Linked DNA regions of Schizosaccharomyces pombe. The gene in region 2 interacts genetically with the main gene of each other region. Each region holds a gene or a part of one and is shown on either strand. Other genes may lie near its edges. The genes, in order: bcp1 and erf4.

Region 1 (3,777 bases), on a different chromosome or scaffold from region 2:
AAATTCTTGTAAGCCAAATGCGCATTGCTGGAAATTCTGCTATTGGTAATCCGGCTGTTAAAGACAGGATCAACAAGATCGTATGGAAAAATGGTAACCCTGATCGCTTATATTCTCTGCATGAAAATGGCATGGTGCGAGTGTTCGATGTAAAGAGTGAGGAATTGCTTGCAGAGAAATCGATTAGCAAAGTCTCTTTGACTGGTATTGCGTTTGCTGTAAATCGTCCGGAATTCGCGATTAGTGCATCTGATGGAAGAGTCTTTTTCTTGAGGCAGGACGATAAACTTTCAACTCTCGAAAGCTTACCTAGCAGAGAAGCTCAAGAGGAAATTACTGATTTATCAGATATTCTTTGGATCAACTCACCCGTCGATAAGTTGGAGCATTTGATTGTGGGCTGTAAAGAGCGAATTTCTGTTTACGACCGCAAATATTTACCATAAAGCACTAACAAAGATAAACGAATACAGGAAGATTTCCCTCTTTTTATGAAACTTCCAACTTTTCTAATCAAAATGAGTTATTTGTTAAAAAATAATGATTTACGATTTCTAACCGTAATGAACCAAAAATCTACACCGTTGCTGGAGCTATATTTGTATTAGATATACGGCAACTATTTAATCTAATCTCAACGTTACTAAAATAAGAACAACACTAACTTGGACCATCAACTTGTATAAAATTGTGTAGTGATCATATTTGAATGTATCTTCAGGGTTGAAGCACATTGTAGCAAGACATAAAAAAGTGTAATTTCATCATGAATCATATAGCAATAGGCATGTAGACTATCCTCCAAATTTGACAATGAGCGTAGACAATTTGTCAACTAAGGTTCAGAATCAGTGATTACAGCAAAGGCTTTGTCAACACTGACAAGAGGTGATATGTCAATTTCCTTCACTATGCATTTGCCAGTACCTTTCTCAAAGATCCAATGGCTTCTAAACAGCTTTCCACCACCAGGCTTCTCAGCGCCTAACTTTTTAATTAGCTCACCTTTAGGATCCGAAAGCAAATGATAAGGAAAGTTTTGCTTATCCTTGAAAGCTTTTTGAGCTTTGCTAGTATCGAAAGACAACCCTAAAACTTCATAATCAGAGGCCTGTATCTTAGGATAGTTATCACGAAAACCACAACCTTGTTTCGTGCAGCCAGGAGTACTAGCTTTTGGGTAGGCAAAAATTACAAGCCCTTTATTTGCAGTAATATCGCGAAGTCGAATGGAAGTTCCATCTTCGTCAGGCAAAGTGATATCGGGAATTACGTCTCCCACTTGAATAGTTGAATCAACTGATTCATCTTTTGCAGGCTTTTTCAGCATTACTGGAGCAGCTTCAGGAATAATCGTTCCTTTGCTATCCAAGACGTTTGCAATCTTGGCTGCCAATCTGCTAGATCTTCTGGGGGCGTCCATTGACAGGCTTAAAGTGTGCAAGAAAAATGCTAGAGGGGAAGGAGAAAGGTTGATGCAGAGCTGCAGTATATAAATTTATATTCTAAACAACACCTGTAAAACCAAAAACGTTGGTGTCAATGCTGATCAGTATTAAATCGCTTTAACTTGTAAAGGCTAGATAAAATGATCAAAGTAGTGAAACTCTGTTCAGGATGAAGTACTCTGAACTTTTTACTACTCAACTTTCAGAATTTCGGTACCAAAATAAAAACAATTTTACAATAACACCTGAGATTTTCTTTCTGGTGTAGGAAGAAAGTACAGGTAGTGAAGAATCACGACATAAATATTACCAATTTGTTAGCTTCGCTTTGATATTACTTTACAACATTACCAATGTGATCCCGTAAAATCGTATTTAGCGTATTTAGCTGACCTTTCAAACGATCGATAGGGAACCGATCTTCCCCTGCTTATACAATCGGAATAGCTTTGCATCCTACTATGACTAAAGAATGTTTTCTTTCATAAAATTTCTAGTCAAATCATTATTAACATGGTGTCGTTTTTACTAGTATGGCTTTAAAAAATGGTCTTTCGTAAACTGTAACAGCATTTTCTCTGATTGTCCGTCTCGACAGCGTTACAGAAATATAAATAAAATAACAATTAATTTATTAACAAATTTCAAATATCTTTTGTTCGTCAATTGTAGAACGGATCCATCAGCTAGGAACTGATTTGCATGCAATGTCAATGTAGCAATCGTAGTAAAGATTCTAAGGAAGTAAGCCAAGACTATAAAACATGATGTTAGCAAGCGAGGCTATCGTCTTTATTAAACTAACATTGCATTTTTTTTATAAAAAGGCTAAAAACATTGCATCGACCGGGAGTCGAACCCGGAGCTAATGCTTGGAAGGCATTGATGTTACCGCTACACCATCGATGCTTGGATGAAGAGGTAAAATAATAGACATATATTACTTTAAAATTAAACTTGTATCGAAGTATTAGCAACTGGTTCTACATTATGAAAATAACCCAAAAACAATCCAAACTGTTTGGCTAATAATGTGTCTATTTATTATACATTAAATAGTTGAAATTATGGTATACTGCCTACTATGCTTGTAATATACTATAAATGTGTAATGTATAATAAAATGGGCATGTGGTGTAGATGGTTATCACGCTTCCTTAGCATGGAAGAGGTCCCAGATTCGAGTTCTGGCTTGTCCAAGTTTTTTTTTGTTTTTTACGTTTGTTGATTCAAACTATATAGAAACGCGTTTACGCAGAGAACATGTTTTCAAATGATTGCGAGCCATCGTCTACCCTATAGCCGTATGGAATTATCAATTTTATTACAACGAAGGGTCGTAGCGGAGAAAGTATATTAATGCATTGTAAATTCATTTCATATAAAATTAATTATTATACCATGACCAAAGGTCTTCTAACATAAGTATATCCAAATTATCTGAAACATTATAACTGATAAAGAGGAATTTCGTTAACTTGCGTACATTCAAGGAAGGGCCGCAACTGTAGATGTAATGGTTTTGCTAAGAGCCTCCACTAGTTCATCTATTTGCTCGCGAGTGATAATATACGGAGGAGCCAGCAATACGTGGTCTCCTCTGGTGCCATCAATTGTACCCATGCCTGGATAAACGAAAACACCATGCTCGCAACCTATTTTGTTGGCGAGAGAACCAACTTTGTATTCAGGAGGGAAACATTCCTTGGTAGCTTTGTCTTTAACGATCTCGAGTCCCCAAAACAAACCGCGGCCTCGAATATTTCCCACGTTGGGATGAGAGTCAAAAGTCTCATGTAATTTTTCCGAAAGGTATTTACCCATTTCTGCTGCCCTTTCAACAAGATGATCTCGTCTTAAAATAGTTTGCACCGCCAGGGCAGCAGAACAAGCAATTGGGTGGGCTTGATATGTAAAAAAACCAGCCATGGCAGCATCTTTTTGCTCAAACACGTTCATAATACGATGACCAACAAGCGCTCCAGAAATGGGTTGATAACCACCTCCTAAACATTTGGCAATAGATTGAATGTCAGGTGTCACACCCTCTTGCTCCCATGCATGCATTGTTCCCGTACGGCCAATACCCGACATAACCTCGTCGAGGTAAAAGATCACTCCGTACTTGTCACAAACCTTTCTCATTGCTTTGAAATAGCCAGGGACAGGGGTAGCACAACCTGTGCAAGCACCGGATACTGTCTCCGCCACAAACGCTGCCACCTTTTCAGGACCAACGCGAAGAATTTCATCCTCAAGCTCTTTAGCTAATCGAGCAACATATTCTTCGGTTGTCTCTCCGTTTTCCTTATACCTGTATTCAAAACAA
Region 2 (3,162 bases):
CATTAGGAAAGGAATGGGGACGAAGCCGTTCGAAAACACATTTATTGAGCGTAGCAATCCATATCGGAATCGTCTTTGATAGAGCATCGGGCATTCTCTTTCCACGACGAGTAGAATCTACTATAATCAATCCATCACAAGTGGTTATCTCATTTAGCAAATGCAAATTGAGACGACGACAGCTAAAAGACCATTGCCCGGTATGACCATCAGTACTTTTGAAATAAACAGAAATCGGAGCATGTCGTCGGTTGACATACCACGTACCGCATCGTTCATTTACAACAGGTTTAAATGTGGGGTACGAAGCTATAACTGAGTCGACAAACTTGGCATCGTGTGCAATTGACAGCAACCGATTCTTTCTTGAAATTAGTGTTAGCCAAATTTTCCATTCGATGACATACAAATAAAAGAAAAGCAAGGCAAAAAGGAAAAACAAGTAAAAATCAGCAAAAATATATATCAGTACGAAATCCAACAAATGGCGATTAGGCTAAAAATTTTTCATGAAAATTTAATAGCAGCTATCCATCGTTTTTTCTTACAATTTGCATTAATTGCTTGTGCGTTTATAAAGGTAGCAATCATTTTCTAAGTCTTTTGATTCTGCCAGCTTATTTGTATAGCAAATTGAGACTTACGGGTGTCTTGCTTGAACATGAATTTGTTGCACAGCGTCTAAAGGGTCGAATTCGTCCATTCGTTTGGCAGATCACTTCTGTGAGAACTAGAAGTTGAGATATTTGAAGTGGTGGCAGTCACGGCAGAGGGAAGTGTTCGTATAGAATGGTGCTCCGGGCAGTACGGATTGGAATGGAGAGTACTACTTTTCGAATTTGTTTCTTTTGTATGAAAAACGAGACTCAAAAACCCCATATTGCGAAGGCTGGCAACGTATAAATTATGTTGGGTTGCAAAGTCCAGGATGTACAAATCGATCGCCCCAATTCTTTTACGATGAATACTGCCAAATACGAACTCCGAGATATAAATCGTTAAAACAGATAGAATTCCATCTAATAGATTTCCAATTGACCATGGACAGAAGGCTTCTCTCAGTTTCTCGTTTAATGTGTGAATGAATACATCCCAATCCTCAAGATTCACATAAGCTCGAAGAGGTACAGGATAATCGGTTGGAAATTGAGGATATTTATCTCCTGAAACCGAATAATCCCTTTCAATGCGAACAAGCATCGAAAAAACCTACTGAAATGAAGCTTGGTGGATTCCCTAGCTCTAGGTTCAAGTGTACAATATTAGAAGACGGATTAGAGAATATGTATAATGAAACTGGGATTCGGTAGAGCACAAGAAAAAAAATAAATAAACAGGAAAGTTATAAGTTAAACAACGTTAAAAATGACTAAAAAATTATAAAACACTCATGAGTTCATCGATTGATCATATAACCGGAACTAAACAAACAAACGTATTAAATGTCAGAATTGAGTGATTAATTGAGTGAATAGCTGTAAAATGGGCAATGATAACTCATTTTAAAAAATCATTATGATTAATTGAGTGAGTTTCAGATTTGAAACAAAAACCACACAGTTTGTCACTAGGTAATTTGAACGGATTTATAGTGAAAATTAAGATTGATAAAAGGATGTGGTTTTAGTTGTTGAGGAATTGAAAATTAATAAAACGTATTGCTCGTTCAGGAAGAGGATAAAAGCTCTCTACAGGATATATTTCATCTACGATAAAAGTTACTTAGAATGAACTGGAAAAACTACTTGGGAAAATAAATGTAATAAAATATAAAAAATATTCGACTGTATATTATATGAGCATTGACTCATATTACTTTAGTCGTTAGATGAGATAAAACTTTGACAACGAATGCGGGCTTTTTTGAAGTCCTTGCTCAGTCCAAGAAGAGCGTCTTAAATCAAGTTCAATAAACTTTTTTAGCTGCAAGGGAAGTTAGGTTGCTTTAAAGTACTCAGCTATCTAAAACTCATTGTGCTTGCTATTAAGTTAAGCGTTAAAGATCCTATTAGGCTTAATATCGTCTGCGTTCTATACGACTTGAAGCTTACTCGCTTCTAAAAGGAATATTCGTTTAAATAAAAGAAACATGCTAAATATATATCTATAGATTCTTACAACCAACTTTTCTTATCCATTTATGCAAGTTGAATTCATGATTTGAAGAAATTCCAAGAAAGACGATTAAAAAAGAACCCTCCTTTACGAAGATGAAAATTTAGTTTCTCATGATACCCATAACATAACTGTTTAAAGGAAATATGTATCGCATTACACTGTTTTGTTTTTTTTTTCCATAGGTAAACAATAGAAAAAGTGTTACCTGTCTCGAGTCACAGAAAATTCGTATGATCTACAATCGCAACCCCAAACTACTTACCATCTACCACCTAATCATTGAAAATTAAAAGATTGCTCTGCGATTGGTAATTGCTAGCATTTGTGATTCACCACTCCGTCTTTACCTATATTTAACTATACTTTGTCAATTTCCCCCTGTTTGATACTTTTTAATTGTTTTACTTATCCAGGATGTCTGAAACGTTCAAGCTTCCCGATCATGACGAACTTCCCCAGCTAGTTCAAACTACTCTTTTTGATGTTGGAGCCAGAGTGTAAGTTTAATCCAATTTTTTACTTTTAAACGTTGAATTATCCAAAATGCTGATTGTTCTGCTATCTTTTTTTGTAAGAGACAGGGCTTAAAGGTCTAAGTACTTTTTTGAAAACTTATAATACAATTGTACTGCAGCACGGCATTTGATGATTTAACTCTTTTTTAGTCTTTTTGTATAATAACTAACAATCATTTAGTCGCAAAGGTACGTGAATCAAATTTAAAAAAAAAAAATGAGTGGATTTGTTTATTAATACCTTAATCAAAAATTTCTATAAAGCACTCTTTCTTCATGTTTATACTTTTAATGGAAAACTGTTTTTATAGAAACTACTTCCTTTCTACCTTTTTTCCTGTTTAGATGAAAGCAGTTTTTACTAACTTTAGCAGCTGTTCAAACTGGTTACAAATTTGACCAACAACTTTTCCCTTCTTACCACAAGGATCAAACTGATAGAAATGAGCTTCCTCAGCAAAAACATGATCCTAATCTTCGTCTCGATGATTTGAAGCAAGAATTGGCTGCTGATTCTATTTTCTGGGAT

Evidence for each region.
Region 1: mutations in erf4 (region 2) and bcp1 together harm fitness less than expected from each alone (positive genetic interaction), as found in Schizosaccharomyces pombe (one large-scale study listed by BioGRID).

The regions. Positions count from the first base shown.
Region 1 is NC_003423.3:283,103-286,879, forward strand, and holds bcp1 (thioredoxin peroxidase), read right to left. Parts: upstream 1,715-3,777; 5' UTR 1,424-1,714; coding exon 836-1,423; 3' UTR 501-835; downstream 1-500. Other genes in the region: csc3 (WD repeat-containing protein), read left to right, coding at 1-446; SPOM_SPBC1773.03C (aminotransferase), read right to left, coding at 2,937-3,777. UniProt on the Schizosaccharomyces pombe protein: Thiol-specific peroxidase that catalyzes the reduction of hydrogen peroxide and organic hydroperoxides to water and alcohols, respectively.
Region 2 is NC_003424.3:2,827,985-2,831,146, forward strand, and holds erf4 (palmitoyltransferase complex subunit Erf4), read right to left. Parts: upstream 1,201-3,162; coding exon 682-1,200; downstream 1-681. Other genes in the region: rit1 (initiator methionine tRNA 2'-O-ribosyl phosphate transferase), read right to left, coding at 1-365, 645-703; spd2 (ribonucleotide reductase (RNR) inhibitor family), read left to right, coding at 2,533-2,615, 2,815-2,822, 3,008-3,162. UniProt on the Schizosaccharomyces pombe protein: The erf2-erf4 complex is a palmitoyltransferase with a major role in driving sexual development. Palmitoylates ras1. Palmitoylates isp3. Palmitoylates rho3.